2 linked regions of the Pelodiscus sinensis genome follow. The protein of the gene in region 2 purifies or fractionates together with the protein of the main gene of each other region. This does not show direct contact. Links are inferred from orthologs where the notes say so. Each region holds a gene or a part of one and is shown on either strand. Other genes may lie near its edges.

Region 1 (9,798 bases), on a different chromosome or scaffold from region 2:
ATAATCACCCCTTGGGGAACATTTCTTCTCAACCCACTTCTTTGAAGTTTACTCACCCTGAAGTGTAAGATTTATATCTTTTATAAAAGTTCCTTTTGCAAACCTTAATAGAATTCTACATGTGCTCATTAGCCATATAGACATCTAATACTTTAACTCCTAAAATAATTGCCTCAAGTGATATTACTGTATCAGGGAATAAGATAGTCAAGTTAATTATGCATCATGTAAAGTAGTATTTTCTTTAACAATTTTAAACTTATCTTTTGGTATCCTCTGAAATCACCCTGTGTTTTTATTATATGTTTGAGTGCTCAGTTTTTCTTTAGACTATTCATTATTGTGTACATCTCCTCTTTGCACTACACAACCCATATACTGAAACGATTAGAAAAAACTATAAAAGCAACAGGTCTTACTCAACAGGTCTATTCCCTGTGGATATTCAGAGTATACTCCTTTATGACTATGTCATGGTGTTTCAAATACAACATCAACATGTGCAACCCTTTTTTAGGTGAAGAGGCCACCTCTGTCACTGAAGATCTAATTTTTATCGTAACTAAGAAACATTCAACAAGACTATACATAAAATAGGCAGCCATACCATCAAGTTAACATGTATTTTCCATTAAAACGTGATGATCAAAGTTACAAAAATTAATAAATCTGCAATTAAATACAAGCAATAGATTTCCCCAAAGCTTTTTTCCCATTAAAGTAACAGGATCAAGGGACTAAAACTGCCCAACTCATATTAGTTAATATTTTGAAAAGAAGTCTTTTAACTATGTGCTGTGATTTCCTTGATTAATTTACATTTTCTGATAGTGACATTTTCTTTAATGAATGTAACTGTTGAAGCTTTTCCCTACAAGTAGACTATATAACCCTATGCAATGATCAAGAGTTGTTAGAATTTACAATTTAAACATCATTGGTCTGGTGTTTAAGATTCACCCACAGAATTAAAAGGCTGCACATAAATATTGCTTGACTTAAACAGTATGAATGTCCAGAAATATAAACTGTACTATTGTTCCCTCTAATTTTTTATTGTCCGTATATGGAATGAATTTTCTTATGTGCACCAATGTGGAGGTAATGTGCAACACATTACTTCCGTAATGGTGCACATAAAATTAATTCTACACAGGGGCAATTTGTGATGGGGCTGAGGATTCAGTGTTGGAGGGGCTCAGGATTGAGGGGGTGAGGGCTCTGGTTGGCAATGAAGCTTTTAGGGTGCAGGAGGCTCCAACTTAGGGGTTTGGCATGTAGGAGCGAGCTCAAGGCAGAATGCTGGGCTGGGATGCAGGGTCAGGGAGTTAGGATGCGGGAAGGGGCTCAAGGCTGGAACAGAGCATTGGGACAAGGGATACTTACCTGAGGCAACTCCTATTTTATAGTGGGATGAACAGATGATTCCACACACACCTGCAAGCACCTGCCCCATAGCTCCCATTGGCCACAATTCGCTGCCAATGGGAGCTGGGGCTCACAGGTGAGGGATTTGCAGGGACAGAGGACAGCAGCACGCAGAGCCAACTCCCTTCCCCTTTGCCAGGAAGGACTGGCCCATAAAACAGAGGTTAAAAGGGCTTCAGCCCAGGTGCCTGGACTAAAAGCCTCCCCCTTAGCATGGGGCCCCAGGCTGCAGCTCCTAAAGCCCCATTCTTAATCTAGCCCTGCTGCTGGAGCCAGGAGAATGTGTTTCTCCTCCAGTCTTAGCAAGGAGCTACTGCAACCAGGGAAAAGGCACCTTTCCCTCCTCCACAATAGCTTCCATTGGCTCATCAGGCACCTACAAAGCCATGCATCTTAGAGGGAACTCTGAATTATGTGTGCGCAAAGCCAATTACATATTGATCTTTTACATAATCCAGCCATCTTTATGAACATATCAGAGCACTGCACTTGCACCCAGGATGAATAAGGAATTCAAAGTAGTTTGCTTTGTCAACACTAGCTCCTACATATCCTATTAAGAGAAGTTAGCAAAAGCAGCTTGAAGTGTGTGCACTCTGGCTCACTAAAAGTAAACAAACATCTTATTTGTACAATAAAGTCAACTGTTGTCTATAATTGCTTATTGTGTTATTTCACATGACCTTGAGTGACAGGTTCAGATAGTATGAGCCTCCCAAATAATTTAGGTTCTACTGTACACCTTTCAAAACAATAAATGGATTATGAAAAGTAATAAGGAGGAAAGGAGAATAACTAAGGGCATTATTCTCCACCTCTTCGCAAAACACCCACTGCCTTCAATGAGAGCTCTACATGCAGAAAACTTCCAGAATTGAGCTGTAAAGGAACTTTGCATCTTATTAATATGCACCCAGCACTTAAAGCACCTCTGCTGAGTCACTCAAGAGATTCCATCACAAGGACTAACAGTTCTTAAAATATTCCAAACTTCAACAGAATACTTTGAGTACATTACACTATATCCAGTTTTTTTAATTTTCTGACAATTCTTTAGAAAACATACGCTGACATTTTAAAATTCATTCAGAAAACCCCTTGTGCAAAATGTTTTATTTAAAATGCAGCATTTTATAAGGTATTTCTCAGTCTCCCTTGCTAATTGACAGCATAAAGCAAACAGTGAAAATGGTATTTAAATGAAGTGCTATCAAATGCACGAAGTTAAGAAATTCCAAAATACAGAAAATTCTAGCTTTTTGCAGTATTGACCATCTTAGAAGTTCCTTGTAATAGTGTTTAAAAGATATTTAAAAATCCAACTTTGCACAAAAGTTCTAACCAAATGAGTTTAAAGCTACTGACCCAGACCTTTGTAAGTCAGCATGCTCTTTATAGTTCAGTTGGCACTGAAAACAGAGCATACTCTAAGTGACATTTCTGAGCACAATAATTAAAAATTAAAGTAAACTCAGTGTAAATTACTATGCTTATCGAATCATAGAGCTGGAAAAGACCTCAGGTGGTCATCAAGTCCAGCCTCCTGCTCTAGGCAAGACCAATCCCAACTTACAGTCAAATGAATTTTGAAAATACTAATGCAAATATCAATACCTAATTAAGTCTGCTATTAAGGCTTATCACTTGTATACATTTATACACAGCTTAGAATCAAACAAGTATTAACACACAACATGAACCAAAGTGTTATACCTTTAAAAACCATCTTAAAGGATCAAAGAATGATAACTATGAAAAATCAAACTACTTCCAACACTGAGTAAATATCCCCATTGAAACCAATTTATTAAAAACACTTCAAGACAATAAATCTAGAAGACAGAGTGGACACCTATCTTAACTGTTATTGCTTCTGTGAAAAGCTCAATGGGACAGGAGGTCAGGTCATGTTCGAATCGCACACATTCCCTACAATACCTGTGAAAAGGTTACAGAAACTATAATCTCATTCTGATCCAATGTTTACATGGAAATACCACCCAGAATCTCAACCAGAACAACACTTGCAGACGTCAGGCCACATGTCAAAACACGAGGCTATGATGACAGCCCACTGTCTTAGTTGTGCTGTTCTAGGGAGGGATACCGGGCGTTACTACCATTCGATTTCTTATCTGCTTTCGTGGAAAACTCAGTAGTAAGGATTTGGAAGAGCAACCCTCGTGAGAGCAGCGCTGGGTGGGAAAGAGGCATGAAGAGTGAACCGTCCCCCTGGGGAAGGTCTGCAGCAGCCATCAAACCCATTCCCCAGGCCAGTATCAGAGGGGTCGCTGTGTTAGTCTGAATCTGCAAAAGCGACGAGGAGTCCTGTGGCACCTTATAGACTAACTGCAGTGTAGGAGCATAAGCTTGCGTGGGCAAAGACCCACTTCGTCAGATGCATTCCCCAGGCGAGTCACCTCAGCACTAAGCCGTTTGCCAGAGGGGGCCTGCTCGGCGAGCAGCGTGACAGAGGCACGGTCCCAGCTGAGGCCGCTCCTCCCCCGGGCAAGGCGCACGTGGCGCAGGCCTGGCCCTGGGCACCTTGCTCCTCACCTGTTGATGAAGCCGTAGCCGTTTCTTACGTTGAACCATTTTACTGTTCCCAAAACCTTCGTTGCTGAAAGGGAAAACGTGACAGTCACGTGACGCCCCGCCCACGCAGGGCCGCCGAGCCAGGCTCCCCACCGCGGGCTCAGCGAGGCAGGCGGGCCGGGCCGCACCGCACCGCGCGCCGGGGGCCCCGGGCAGGCACGTGGCTAAGCGGGTTTCACACAAAGGCCCCGCGTGGCGGACATTTTGAGTGGCTCCGCGCCCGCCCCGCCCCCATCCGCCGCCGCACGCGGGGCTCAACGGCTCAAGCGGCGCGCGGGGGCCTAACGGCCACTGCGCGCGCACCAGACAGGGGTCTCGCGCCTTCCTGCGGGGGAGGAGGGATGACGCCCACAGACCCCTCCCCTTCCCCCCCTCAGCCCCCTCACCGATGACCTTCTTGTCCCCGCCGGCGGGGGGCGCCGCCGAGGCCAGGCCGCTGCCACCGTTGCCTGTGCCGCCGTTAGGTTTGGACTCGGCGGGGGCGGTGGGCGCCGCCGCGGGAAGAGGGGCGGCGGGCGGCTGGGTCTCGGCCTCGCTGCTCATGGCGGCGGCTGTTCGGTGCGGACGGTGGTGGTGACTGGCTGTTGCGCCGCCTCCCGCAGTGTGATGGTGACTGGGGCCGGCCGTGGGGGGGGGGCTGCTCCCTGCTCCGGGCTCGCTGGGCTCCGCTCTCCGCTCCCGATACCGATCGAACTGACCACAATGGCGGCCCGCACCGGCTAGCCACCCAGCACGCACCGCCCACTAGCTCTTTCACTGGCTGCGGAGCTTGCCCGTCACGGATCGTGCAAACCCATTGGCTTTTAGAAATCCGCCCTCAGGGGCTTGTCACACCCGTTGGCTGTGGCTCTCGCCCATCATAGAACGCGCTCCGTTATTAGGTGTTCTTATCCCGGCCACATTTTTGCTAGCGCCCATTGGCCGTCGAGCCTGCCCATCATACAACGCGTACACCCATTGGCTGCACGAATCACGGCTGCCGGGACTTGTTTCGGCCTGGTTCGTTACTCCTCCCTTTTGGAGCGTGGTTGGTGCAGCATCCCTGTGATCCCGCCTTCTGCACCTGGGAGGGAGCGGAAGGGCGCGGGCCGGAGCACGTGGCCTCGGTTGAACTCGTGCAGTTATCTAGGGGCACGTGCTCAGGTCGGAGCTGGGGCAGCCTGGCCCTCGCCTCCGCACACAGCCCCGCGGCGCCCAGTCTAAGGGGAAGTCTCTGCCTTCTCGCTGGCAAATAGGACTGCCACCTTGCTATTGGTACAAAACCGGCACACCCCAGCCTAGCCCCCAGAAGCCCCCCAGCATGTCTCTCAGCCCAGCTCCAACCCCCCACACACACACACACTATTCCTGTCTCATATGAAGCACCTTCACACATGTTCCTTGAAGGGCCCTGATGTGAATCTGAGCAGATCCCATCAGTCTGAGAGAAGTCCCCTGAGGCCTGAGCACTTCTAGGCTTGGAAGATGGTTTCTAGCTAGAATAATATAGCCAGTTAACACAGGCCACCCCAGGAATGGAGCCAGCTCTCCAATTTGGAAAGCATGATAAGGGACCCACTGAAGGTAGGGGGGTGGACTGGGATTTACAGTGAACTTGGAGCTAGGGCTTCAGCCTTTGGAGCACAAGATGGTGGGCTCAATCCCACACCCACCCACCCAGCAACAGGGCAGCTAACACCGTCTGCCCCAGGGATTAACCTAGCTCCTGCATTAGGAAAGCAGGATAAGGGACCCCCTGGAAGATAGGGAGGTGGAGTGGGCTGGGGTTAAGGCATTTGCTTGCAGAGGGCAGGGCTGTGAGTCCAAGGCCCTCCACCACCAGGAGCAGCTGGACAGTGGTAGAGGCTGGCTGATGGCAGTAGAATTGAAGATCCAGACTGTGAGAATCAGGACTAGGACCCAACAGTGCTTTTTGCTCCACTGGTAGCTTGTATCAGAGGGGTAGCCGTGTTAGTCTGAATCTGCAAAAGCGGTGAGGAGTCCTGGGGGTCTTTGCCCACGAAAGCTTATGCTCCAACACTTCAGTTAGTCTATAAGGTGCCACAGGACTCCTCGCCGCTTTTACAGGTAGCTTGTATCACTGCTGTGTGTGCTAGGAGATGGAAGTTGCTTTGTACATAAATGATCTAAAAGGATATTCCTATTTGCCAATGTGATCTGCTCCCCTGGCTGTCCAATCCATGATATTAGGCTGTGAGCCACACCCTCTACAACTCCACCTAAGTGGACTGAAGAATTGAAGAATTGCTCAGAACCGTGCATTTCCCTGCTGTTGTGTATTCATTACCAAGGGGCCAACACATTATCAATAAGCTACAGCCTATACTGGTGTTGGAGTCACTGGGCATGATCCTAGGTAACTCGGGGGAGTGGAAGATCACAAGGATCGATGAAGAGCCCCCGCTCTAGGCCCAAGCACCCTAAAAGCCCCCTTCCCCCCCGAGACATAACTTTTCTCTAGCTCGCTAACAGCTGGGAACAGCAAGACATTGAAAGTTGCCTAGTTACTATCAGTGGTATAGAAGAAGAATTCAGATGTGTTTCTGTAGAGGAGGAGGAGGGGGACTGGCAGCATGTCCCAGCCTGGGAAACTTGCTACAGTTCACTATTCTCCTGCAAGTAAACAACCTGGGTATATAAGGAGGGAAAACTGCTTACGTTGGTGTGCCTGACCTGAGATGTCTCCTGGAACCTATTTGAGCGTTCAAATAAATTTTTTTTGGCTTCTCCACACCGGTGTGTTTATTGGAGCGCGCACACCGGGCAACAAACCCAGCTGTTGCCCCCCTCGGGCACTGTGTGCCGGCAACACTGGAACAGGATACCATACCCCAAGAGGCTCTGGGAGACAGACCCATAGTCTCCTATAGACAACCACCTAACCTCAAGATGATTCTTACCAACAACCACAGGACATACCACACTAAGACCAACCCTGGTACCTTCCCTTGCAACAAACCCCGTTGCCAGCTTTGTCCACATATTCATTCTGCTGATACCATTGTTGGACCTAACCAAGTGAGTTATAAGATCAAGAACACACATTCCTGCGCATCCAGAAATATAATTTATGCTATCATGTGCCGAAAGTGTCCGTCTGCTATGTACATTGGACAAACAGGTGACAACCTGGGAAGCAGTGATCATGAGAAGGTAGATTTCAGGATACTGACCAAAGAAAGAAAAGAGAATAGTAAAATACACACCTTGGACTTCAAAAAAAGCGGATTTTGACTCCCTCGAAGACCTGATGGGCAGAATCCCCTGGGATGCTAACATGAAGGGGAAAGGAGTCTAGGACAGCTGGCAGTATTTTAAAGAAGCTTTATTGAAGGCACAGAAAGTAACCAGCCCTATGCGTAGCAAGAGAGGCAAACATGGTAGGAGACTGGATTGGCTTACAGGAGAAATCCTTGGTGAACTTAAGCACAAAAAGGAAGCTTACAAAAAGTGGAAACTTGGACAAATGACCAGGGAGGGGTTTAAATGTCTAGCTCAAGAATTCCGGGGGGTTATCAGGAAGGTGAAAGCGCAAATGGAATTGCGACTGGCTAAGGATGTGAAGGATAACAAGAAAGGTTTCTACAGTCATGTTAACAAGAAAAAGGTGATCAGAGAGGGTGTGGGGCCCCTACTCGATGAAGGAGGTAAGCTAGTGACAGATGATGTGGGGAAAGCTGAAATACTCAATGCTTTCTTTGCCTCTGTATTCATGGACAAGGTGGGCACTCAGACTAATGCGCTAAGTGACACAAGATGGGATGAAGATGGACAGCCCTTTGTGGGTAAAGAACAGGTTAGGAACTATTTAGAAAAGCTAAACGTATACAAATCTGTGGGTCCCAACTTAATGCATCGAGGGTACTGAGGGAGTTGGCAAATGTCATTGAGGAGCCTTTGGCCATTATCTTTGAAAAATTGTGGAGATCGGGAGAAATCCCGGATGATTGGAAAAAGGCAAATGTAGTGCCCATCTTCAAAAAAGGGAAGAAGGACGATCCAGGGAACTACAGGCCGGTCAGTCTTACCTCGGTCCCTGGAAAAATCATGGAAGGGATCCTTAAGGAATCCATTTTGAGGCACTTGGAAGAAAGGAAGGTGATTAGGAATAGTCAGCATGGATTCACAAAGGGCAAGTCGTGCCTGACCAATCTGATTAGCTTCTATGATGCGGTAACTGGCTCTGTGGATATGGGAAAGTCAGTGGATGTGATATACCTTGACTTAACAAGGCTTTTGATACGGTCTCCCACAACATTCTTGCCAGGAAGTTAAGGGAATGTGGATTGGATAAATGGACGGTAAGATGGATAGAAAGATGGCTAGAAGGCCAGGCCCAGCAGGTAGTGAGCAACATCTCGATGTCAGAATGGCGGTCGGTTTCTAGCAGAGTGCCCCAAGGTTCGGTTCTAGGACCGGTTTTGTTCAATATCTTTATTAATGACCTAGATTACGGGATGGATTGCACTCTCAGCAAGTTTGCGGATGATACTAAGCTGGGGGATAGGTAGATACGCTTCAGGGCAGAGATAGGATCCAGAGTGATTTAGACAAATTGGAGGATTGGGCCACAAGAAATCTGATGAGGTTCAAAAGGACAAGTGTAGAGTCCTGCACTTGGGACGGAAGAATCCCAAGCATAGTTACAAGCTGGGGACCAACCGGTTAAGTAGTAGTTCTGCAGAAAAGGACCTGGGGGTTACAATGGATGAGGAGCTGGATATGAGTCAAAAGTGTGCCCTTGTATCCAAGAAGGCTAATAGCATATTAGGTTGCATTAAGAGGAGCATTGCCAGCAGATCTAGAGATGTCATTATTCCCCTTTATTTGGCTTTGGTGAGGCCACATCTGGAGTATTGTGTCCAGTTCTGGGCTCCCCACTACAAAAAGGTAGGAGAGGGTCCAGCAGAGGACAACCAAAATGATTAGGAGGCTAGAGCATCTGACTTATGAGGAGAGGCTGAGGGAGTTGGGTCTGTTTAGTCTGCAGAAGCGAAGAGTGAGGGGGGATTTGATGGCAGCCTTCAACTTCCTGAAGGGAGATTCCAAAGAGGATGGAGAAAGGGTGTTCTCAGTAGTGATGGATGGCAGAACAAGGAGCAATGGTCTCAAGTTGTGGTGGGAGAGGTCCAGGTTGGATATTAGGAAAAACTCTTTCCCTAGGAGGGTAGTGAAGCACTGGAATGGGTTACCTAGAGAAGTAGTGGAGTCTCCATCCCTAGAGGTGTTTGAGTCTCGGCTTGGCAAAGCCCTGGCCGGGTTGATTTAGTCTAGAGCAGGGGGCTGGACTTGATGACCTTCTGGGGTCTCTTCCAGCTCTATGATTCTATGAACACTCCTTCCCGGCTCTCTGTCCTCAGCAAAGGTGCTTCTGGAGCAGAGAGCGAGAGTGAAGACAAAGATATAGGCACCCCCAGGATACTGTTATAAGCTTGTCCATGCAAAGAGAAATCCATTATTCTCCTGAGTAATGGTACCTCCCAAAATGGAGCTGATCACATGATCACCGTGTCCTTTATGGGCAGGAAGCCATGGAGTATCCAGGTATGTGCTCCCGAGGCAAAGGGCCATTGTATGCTCCTCAGGTGTCAATTGGCAACACTTACGAGCCTTTGCCCATGAAGCATTCACTATTCATTGGGCCACCACCACCCGCAATTTGTGGTCAATGCCTACTGCTGTCTCCTAGACAGAAAATATATACAGAGCCCATATTCATAAGTATATGAGTAGCATAGACAGAATCAGCATAGCACAAGCTTACATTAGACACCT
Region 2 (9,591 bases):
CCCCACGTGCACACCCCCTCGTACTACGCGTGACTGACAAGGGCAGTGCTGATGGAAAGCAGGTGGCGCACTACAAACCAGTCGAGCAGCGAAACGTACTCTGGTCACTGCTCCAGGCAATGGCCACTCTGGCTTCCATGTAGATGTTGAACGTCAAGGGCCAGGAATTCACCGGGACGCAGGCTTGCGCTCCATTTGCCAGTACTGCCTTGCTGCGCCGGGCCCCACATGCAGCACCTGGCCAGGACTGGGCCCCACACAAACCCTCTCAGCCTAACTGAGATCAGAGCTGCACAGCCCCCCTTGTGCCAGGTGCTGCAGACTCCCCCCAAGGCGAGATCAGCGCCCCCCACAACCCAGACACGCCCGGGCTCCCATCACACCAGGCGTTGCACAGACCCGGTGAGTCACCACCTGAGCCAAAGATCGGGGCAGGCTCCTGCCCTTCGGCACGTTGGGGAACAGGCTGGGCAGCACAGCTGGGTGAGCAGTGGCAAAGCTAGGACGCCAGTGGCCTTACGCAGTCACACATGCTTGAGGGTGTTGGCAGGGGTCTGTGCAGTCTGCTGCAAGGGTCCCTGATCTCAGCAGGATGGCCAAAAGATAACACGGCTGGACCCAGCACCTCGCACAAGGGAGGGTCCCAGTCTGAGCTGGGGCCTGGTCTCAGGCAGTCTCTAAATCCCCCGATGGAAACTCCTACGGACGCACTTGTCCCTGCTCACGCTAGCTGAGAAGGCCCAGGGCAGCACCCAAGTGTTCATCTCAGGGTCAAATGGCCAGGGTGCAGAAAGGGGAATTCACCCTCAGGGCGGCAGTGAGACCTGGGTCAGCAAAGTGACTCAGCGGGAGAAGCCGGGGCAAGAACCTAGGCATCCCGGAGGCCTGACCCAGAGCCAACACTTCAAGCAACTTTCACTTTCCACTCCCGGCGTCTCCCCACGGCAGAGAGCAGGTTCACAGCGGCACCGACCCTGAAACGCTGTTCGCAGGGGAACGGACACAAGAATGTTAACATTCTGCTTTCAATCCTCAGCCTCATGACTGGGGAGGGGGAAAGGAACATTTCTCCCATGCTCCGAAAGTGCATTTCCAGAGAGGTACTCCAAGGCATGCTGCGGCTTCCAAGCGCTAGCACCAACTCCGTGCAGTGGTGGCAGGACAGAGGCGAGGCACAGGCCATGGTGGGCTCAGAGTGAACACGAGTCAGATCTGAGCCGGCACCAGCCTGGTTTTCATAAGCACTAACTGAGCACCCCTGGGACTCAAGTCCCCCGTGGTACGAGCAAAACCAGAAGCTGTCGAGGTTCCCCTGAAGCCTCCAAAGCAGCAGGCCCCAGCCCCAAGCCATCTCCTAGTGAGCTCACAAGAGAGACAGGTCTGACCTCCTACCCGGGAGGCTCCAACTACTTGTCCAGCCAACCCCCAACCACTCCCCACCCAATACTTTCACCCAGCCACAGATTTTTACACCTGGGGAATCCTAGAGGGACCCCCCCCTCCACTTTGCCTCATAGGAGCATCTTCAGAATCACGGTCTCTGCGACATCGGGACGGGCGTCTGGCCCAGTGAAATGCCCAGGTGCCAAAATTCACCCCACGTGTGGGGCTACGGATGGTGAGCGGAGGCTACGGTCAGCCCGCAGGCAAGGACAAACCTTAAGCTTTGGACACAAGTCAGAGCATCTTCGAGCAATGCTCACACCTGGAGCAGAAGAAGTGAGCCGTGGAACCCCGCCTGCACATGAAGACCCCTCCCCCAGCAATCCAGACAACAGTGCAGGGCAATCCCTCCGAATACAGACACAACAACGCTGGCTGCTCAGTACAGCAGAGGCCGTACGTGGTCAGCAGCCCTTCAGCCTCCAAAAATACAATCCCCGCATCCTGGCCAACGCCACCAGGAGCCTGGGTTTAGTTCCCGAGTCTCACCCACCCACCTTCAGCAAGGGGGCTCCGCCTTCCACGTGCAGCAAGTCAGTGCCTGCTCCCTCCCCATGAGGCACCATGAGTGCAGCTAACACACCAACATACACTGAGGGCTACTCCCCAATGCACACACTCATCTCTAGTATGGCACGGCAGTAGCCAGAGGGGGCCCTGTTGTGCCAAGCAAGCCCACTCTGAGATGGGGGGCCCCCCATCATGTCACACGATGGATGGGCTCCCTCAACCGAAATTGGCAGTCCCCTTACTGCTGCTGACAAATCTCAGGGGCTCCCCCATCACACCAGAATCCTCTCGACCTGGATCAGTCCCACCCCCATCACAATGCTCTGGTCGAGTCCTCTTCCCCGCCGGCAGCTAGCTCTTGGGCATTCATCACAAGTCCTGCAACCCAAGCCCCAGGAGTCACTTCAATTGACCTCCAGTACTCTCAAGTCCAGAGAGCCCCACCAGAATCCTGACCCACAACAGCACAAACTGCCCAGGGACCCACTATTTGGGCAGGGACGAAAACAGCATGTGATTCTGACACTGATCTGATTTTTGAGACACTTGGGGCAGGCATGGGGAAAGCTGTGGGGTACACCCCTCCTGAGAGACCACCCCACCAGGAATGCACCTGCAGCCCTTGGTTGTGCCCCTTGGGGTGGGATGTAATGTTTCAATGACCTCTTAAGAGCCTGCGGTGAGCAGGGGCAAGGAGGTTTGCCAGCTGCTCTTCTTTGGCGCTACCTGTGCTGTTACTGCCTGGACTTCTCCCAGTCCAAAGACACAGAGCCCGTTTGCCAGCGCACTGACCCCCGTCTGCAAGCACTGGACCCCCAAGGGCGAGCAAGCAGATGAGGCAGGGGTCTGGCTGGAGGTCTCTGCACAGCCCAGGCCGGTGTCACAGCGCAGGGTCTCAGCTCCCAGGTACGGCAGCCCCGTGTCCCCGCCAGGCCCCCCCCGACCCCGGGCCCCGTGTCCCCGCCAGCCCCCCCCAACCCCGGGCCCCCGGCCCCGTGTCCCCGCCAGGCCCCCCCCGACCCCGGGCCCCCCGGCTCCGTGTCCCCGCCAGGCCCCCCCCGACCCCGGGCCCCCCGGCTCCGTGTCCCTGCCAGGCCCCCCCCCCCGGGCCCCGTGTCCCCGCCAGGCCCCCCCCGACCCCGGGCCCCGTGTCCCCGCCAGGCCCCCCCCCCAATCCCGGGCCCCCCGGCTCCGTGTCCCCGCCAGGCCCCCCCCGACCCCGGGCCCCGTGTCCCCGCCAGGCCCCCCCCCCAATCCCGGGCCCCCCGGCTCCGTGTCCCTGCCAGGCCCCCCCCGACCCCCGTGTCCCCGCCAGGCCCCCCCGACTCCGTGTCCCCGCCAGGCCCCCCCGACCCCGGGCCCCCCGGCTCCGTGTCCCTGCCAGGCCCCCCCCGACCCCGGGCCCCATGTCCCCGCCAGGCCCCCCCGACCCCGGGCCCCCCGGCTCCGCGTCCCCGCCAGGCCCCCCCCGACCCCGGGCCCCTGCCAGGCCCCCCCCCGGCTCCGTGTCCCCGCCAGGCCCCCCCCGGCTCCGGGCCCCGTGTCCCCGCTAGGCCCCCCCCGGCTCCGGGCCCCGTGTCCCCGCCAGGCCCCCCCGACCCCGGGCCCCCCGGCTCCGCGTCCCCGCCAGGCCCCCCCCGACCCCGGGCCCCTGCCAGGCCCGCCCCCGGCCCCGTGTCCCCGCCAGGCCCCCCCCGGCTCCGGGCCCCGTGTCCCCGCCAGGCCCCCCCCCCCGGCTCCGTGTCCCCGCCAGGCCCCCCCCGACCCCGGGCCCCGTGTCCCCGCCAGGCCCCCCCCGACCCCGGGCCCCGTGTCCCCGCCAGGCCCCCCCCGGCTCCGTGTCCCCGCCAGGCCCCCCCCCGACCCCGGACCCCGTGTCCCCGCCAGGCCCCCCCCGGCTCCGTGTCCCCGCCAGGCCCCCCCCCCGACCCCGGACCCCGTGTCCCCGCCAGGCCCCCCCCGGCTCCGTGTCCCCGCCAGGCCCCCCCCGACCCCGGACCCCGTGTCCCCGCCAGGCCCCCCCCGGCTCCGTGTCCCCGCCAGGCCCCCCCCCGACCCCGGGCCCCCCGGCTCCGTGTCCCCGCCAGGCCCCCCCCGACCCCGGGCCCCGTGTCCCCGCCAGGCCCCCCCCCCCGACCCCGTGTCCCCGCCAGGCCCCCCCCGGCCCCGGGCCCCGCCAGAAGGACCCGGGCCCCTCGCTGTCCCCGGCGGGGGCGGGGCCGGGGGGCGTGACGGGCCGGCGGGGCAGGTGGGCGCGGGGCGGCAAAGGGGCCGTTGGCGCGCGGGGGGAGGGGCGCGAGCCGGGCCGTTGGCGCGCGGGGGGCGCGAACCGTTGGCAGCGGGGGCGTCGCGAGGGGCCCAGCTGGCGCGAGCTGACCTTTGACCTCCCTCCACACCCCCAGGTGAGGGGCGGCCCCGCCCAGGGCAACGGGGGCCGCTGTGACGCACTCGGGGCCCCCGAGCGCGCGCGAAGGGGAGGGGGAGGAGGGGCCGCCGCGAGCGGGAAGGAACCAACGGCCACAGCCCCCCGCGCGCGCTCCCCCTCCTCTGCTGGCGCGGGGCCCGCGAGATGGGCCCGTCCGACTCCCCCCGCGGGATGGGGCCGAATGGTCCCGTCCCCCACTGTCTCCTCCCTCCCCCGGTCACTCACAATCTCTCCTCATCTCCGCTCGGCGCCGCCGCCATTTTCTTCGCAGCGAAGAACCCGCGGGGAGTGAGGGGGGGCGGGGGGGAATAGACCGAGCCGGAGAGGAAACCCGGACCGAAGAGCCCGCCCCTACAGCGGCCATTGGGCGCCGCCGCTGTCGCTCAATGCGCCGCCCCGCGCTCATTGGTTACGCCGTTGGCCCCGACGGGCGGGGCCGGTGCGCTCCCGGCGGCCGTTGGAATTGGCGGGAAGCGCTGTCAGTTACAACGTTCTAAAAGGGTGGGGCCCGTGGGAGCGCGCGCGGATCCTGATTGGGCCCTGGCGGCCGCTCACCTCGCCCATTGGTCCGGCGGCCCATCCCTCACTTTACTAAGGGGGCGGGGAGAGGCCTCAAGCTACGGAGATTTGAAATTTAACGGTTTTAAACGGTTTTTCTCTTCAGCCGTCACCGCAGTGCGTTCCTCTCGCGGTTTCTCCCGGCGCAGACGAGCCCGCTGGCGACCCCCGCACACCAGCAGCTCCCGGCCCCTCCGCCAGCGGCACCGGACACTGCCTGGGCCTCGCAGCCCCCCACTCCGGCCCTGGGCACCCGGCGCCCCGCCTGCCTCGTCACAACATGGCTACCCCCGCCACGGCCCCTCACAGCCCCCACCATCCCAGCCTGGACGCCCCCTCACAGCCCCCCCATCCCAGCCTGGACGCCCCCTCACAACCCCCCCCCATCCCAGCCTGGACGCCCCCTCACAGCCCCCCCATCCCAGCCTGGATGCCCCCTCACCCCCCCCCGCATCCTAACCTGGACGCCCCCTCACACCCCCCCCCTGCATCCTAGCCTGGACGCCCCCTCATCCCCCCCTCATCCCAGCCTGGACGCCCCCTCACCCCCCCCCCCGCATCCCAGCCTGGACGCCCCCTCACACCCCCTCATCCCAGCCTGGACGCCCCCTCACACCCCCCCCCCCGCATCCCAGCCTGGACGCCCCCTCACCCCCCCCCCCCGCATCCCAGCCTGGACGCCCCCTCACACCCCCCCCCGCATCCCAGCCTGGATGCCCCCTCACCCCCCCCCCGCATCCCAGCCTTGACGCCCCCTCACACCCCCCCCCGCATCCCAGCCTGGACGCCCCCTCACACCCCCCCCCGCATCCCAGCCTGGACGCCCCCTCACACCCCCCCCCCCGCATCCCAGCCTGGACGCCCCCTCACACCCCCCCCCCCGCATCCCAGCCTGGACGCCCCCTCACACCCCCCCCCCGCATCCCAGCCTGGACGCCCCCTCACCCCCCCCCGCATCCCAGCCTGGACGCCCCCTCACCCCCCCCCCGCATCCCAGCCTTGACGCCCCCTCACACCCCCCCCCCGCTTCCCAGCCTGGACGCCCCCTCACACCCCCCCCCGCATCCCAGCCTGGACGCCCCCTCACACCTCCCCCCCGCATCCCAGCCTGGACGCCCCCTCACACCTCCCCCCCGCATCCCAGCCTGGACGCCCCCTCACACCCCCCCCGCATCCCAGCCTGGACGCCCCCTCAAACCCCCCCCCCCGCATCCTAGCCTGGACGCCCCCTCACACCCCCCCCCCGCATCCCAGCCTGGACGCCCCCTCACACCCCCCCCCCCGCATCCCAGCCTGGACGCCCCCTCACCCCCCCCCCGCATCCCAGCCTGGACGCCCCCTCACCCCCCCCCCGCATCCTAACCTGGACGCCCCCTCACACCCCCCCCCCCCGCATCCTAGCCTGGACGCCCCCTCATCCCCCCCTCATCCCAGCCTGGACGCCCCCTCACACCCCCCCCGCATCCTAACCTGGACGCCCCCTCACACCCCCCCCCCGCATCCTAGCCTGGACGCCCCCTCATCCCCCCCTCATCCCAGCCTGGACGCCCCCTCACAACCCCCCCCCATCCCAGCCTGGACGCCCCCTCAGACCCCCCCTGCATCCCAGCCTGGACGCCCCCTCACCCCACCCCTTATCCCAGCCTGGACGCCCCCTTGCACCCCCCCCCGCATCCCAGCCTGGACGCCTCCTTACACGCCCCCCCCGCATCCCAGCCTGGACGCCTCCTTACACGCCCCCCCCGCATCCCAGCCTGGACGCCCCCGCATCCCAGCCTGGACGCCCCCTCACCCCCCCCCCCCCCCGCATCCCAGCCTGGACGCCCCCTCACACCTCCCCCTGCATCCCAGCCTGGACGCCCCCTCACATCCCCCCCCCGCATCCCAGCCTGGACGCCCCCTCACAACCCCCCCCTCATCCCAGCCTGGACGCCCCCTCACAACCCCCCCCTCATCCCAGCCTGGACGCCCCCTCACAGCCTCCCCCATCCCAGCCTGGACGCCCCCTCACAACCCCCCCCGCATCCCAGCCTGGATGCCCCCTCACAACCCTCCCCTCATTCCAGCCTGGACGCCCCCTCACAGCCCCCCCATCCCAGCCTGGACGCCCCCTCACAAACCCCCCCCCCGCATCCTAGCCTGGACGCCCCCTCACCCCCCCCCCGCATCCCAGCCTGGACGCCCCCTCACAGCCCCCCCCCCACATCCCAGCCTGGACGCCCCCTCACAACCCTCCCCTCATTCCAGCCTGGACGCCCCGTCACAGCCCCCCCCGCATCCCAGCCTGGACGCCCCCTCACATCCCCCCCCGCATCCCAGCCTGGACGCCCTCTCACAAACCCCCCCCCCCCGCATCCTAGCCTGGACGCCCCCTCACCCCCCCCCCGCATCCCAGCCTGGATGCCCCCTCACCCCCCCCCCCCCCGCATCCCAGCTTGGATGCCCCCTCACAACCCCCCCCGCATCCCAGCCTGGACGCCCCCTCACACACCCCCCCCCGCATCCCAGCCTGGACGCCCCCTCACCCCCCCCCGCATCCCAGCCTGGACGCCCCCTCACACCCCCCCCCGCATCCCAGCCTTGACGTCCCCTCACACCCCCCCCCGCATCCCAGCCTTGACGCCCCCTCACACCCCCCCCCCCGCATCCCAGCCTGGACGCCCCCTCACACACACCCCCCCCGCATCCCAGCCTGGACGCCCCCTCACACCCCCCCCCGCATCCCAGCCTGGAGGCCCCCTCACACCCCCCCCCCCCGCATCCCAGCCTGGACGCCCCCTCACACCTCCCCCCCGCATCCCAGCCTGGACGCCCCCTCACACCTCCCCCGCATCCCAGCCTGGACGCCCCCTCACACCCCCCCCCTGCATCCTAGCCTGGACGCCCCCTCACACCCCCCCCCCCCCGCATCCCAGCCTGGACGCCCCCTCACACCCCCCCCCCCGCATCCCAGCCTGGACGCCCCCTCACCCCCCCCCGCATCCCAGCCTGGACGCCCCCTCACCCCCCCCCCGCATCCTAACCTGGACGCCCCCTCACACCCCCCCCCCCCGCATCCTAGCCTGGACGCCCCCTCATCCCCCCCTCATCCCAGCCTGGACGCCCCCTCACACCCCCCCCCCGCATCCTAACCTGGACGCCCCCTCACAAACCCCCCCCCCGCATCCTAGCCTGGACGCCCCCTCACCCCCCCCCGCATCCCAGCCTGGATGCCCCCTCACACCCCCCCCCCCCCGCATCCCAGCCTGGACGCCCCCTCACAACCCTCCCCTCATTCCAGCCTGGACGCCCCCTCACATCCCCCCCCGCATCCCAGCCTGGACGCCCCCTCACCCCCCCCCCCCGCATCCCAGCCTGGACGCCCCCTCACAACCCCCCCCCCCGCATCCCAGCCTGGACGCCCCCTCACAACCCCCCCTCATCCCAGCCTGGACGCCCCCTCACAACACCCCCCCCCCCCCGCATCCCAGCCTGGACACCCCCTCCGAACCCGCCCCCCCGCATCCCAGCCTGGGCATCCCATCATAGCCCCCCGACATCCCTCACAGTCCCCCCCCTGTATCCTATTCTGCCTGCTCTATCACAGCCCCCCATCTCGCATGCTGCCCCATCACAGCCTCCCCCACATCCCTGCCTGACTGCCTCATCAGAGCGCCCTGCCTGGCATCCCAGCCTCCCTGCCCCATTACCCGCACACACATTCCAGCCTGCCTGCCCCATCATGGCCGTTCCCCAGCATCCCAGCCTACCCACCTTGCTACCCCAGAGCCTCCCTGGGCCTCACAACATGGCCCCCCGTCACTTCAAATCCGCACTGGGCCCCCAACATAGTCCTCTCATCATGCCAAGGCCACTTAGCTCTCCAGCTTGGCTGCCCCCCACCTCGTCCGCTGGCCTCCCTTTCATGCCAAAGCCCCCACAAGGTGGCTGCCTTGCCATGACTCCCCGCTCTCCCCAAAGTGATCACCCCGTCATGCCACAGCTCTCTCAGTCGCCCAGCCTGGCCTCCCCATCACTCCATGGCCACCCCGTCATACCAAGGCTGTTCTCTCCCACAGCCACCCCCCGAGTCCACCATGCCCCTCTCCTGCTCTCCCCCATTACTCGTGACTCACGCCCAAACCCCCGCCTGCTGCTTTGGCCTCTCAGCAGCAGAGGCTGCGGCCAAAGACCTCCTGCCATTCAGCGGGGAATCGCAGCTGCGCTAGCTCCAGCCCCAACCCTGTGGGCAGCCGTGGGGCACCCTATTGAGCCACCTATGGCTGAAGGCATTGTGTCAGTGCATGAGAAATGTGCCCCCCCAGCCCATGGACTGTCACAGCCTGGGCCCTCAACCTACCATCTGGTCTTCAGGGCACCCGCTGTCTGGTCAGTAACCACCCCAGCCCTCCAGCAGGGGGCGCCGCTCTCCCATCTCTGCTGGGCCCTCCCGTTATATGGGCCATGCTTGGCACGAGGCATCTGGGCAAAGGGCTGGGAGCCAGGACTCCTGGGTTCTCTCCCTGGCTCCAGAATAAGAAGGGAGTTTTCTGGGTCAGGGAAAGGGCCCACCCATGCTGTCAGACATGCAGCTGCCCCCAGGGCCATTAGCCCCACACCCAAATGTATCCCCTCGACTGACGCTCCCCCGAGGGGAAAGACTCTGTCTCTGAGCC

Evidence for each region. The genes of interacting proteins can lie anywhere in the genome.
Region 1: the proteins of MECP2 (region 2) and YBX1 purify together in Homo sapiens (affinity purification with western blotting; 3 studies listed by BioGRID, with this or other methods). This does not show direct contact. The link is inferred for Pelodiscus sinensis from reciprocal best matches to the Homo sapiens genes MECP2 and YBX1.

The regions. Positions count from the first base shown.
Region 1 is NC_134733.1:3,156,751-3,166,548, forward strand, and holds the start of YBX1 (Y-box-binding protein 1), read right to left. Parts: upstream 4,727-9,798; 5' UTR 4,567-4,726; coding exon 4,410-4,566; intron 4,049-4,409; coding exon 3,985-4,048; intron 1-3,984. UniProt on the Homo sapiens protein: DNA- and RNA-binding protein involved in various processes, such as translational repression, RNA stabilization, mRNA splicing, DNA repair and transcription regulation.
Region 2 is NW_027465896.1:72,075-81,665, reverse strand, and holds the start of MECP2 (methyl-CpG-binding protein 2), read right to left. Parts: upstream 4,757-9,591; 5' UTR 4,639-4,756; coding exon 4,604-4,638; intron 2,666-4,603; exon of another isoform or gene 1-2,665. UniProt on the Homo sapiens protein: Chromosomal protein that binds to methylated DNA. It can bind specifically to a single methyl-CpG pair. It is not influenced by sequences flanking the methyl-CpGs.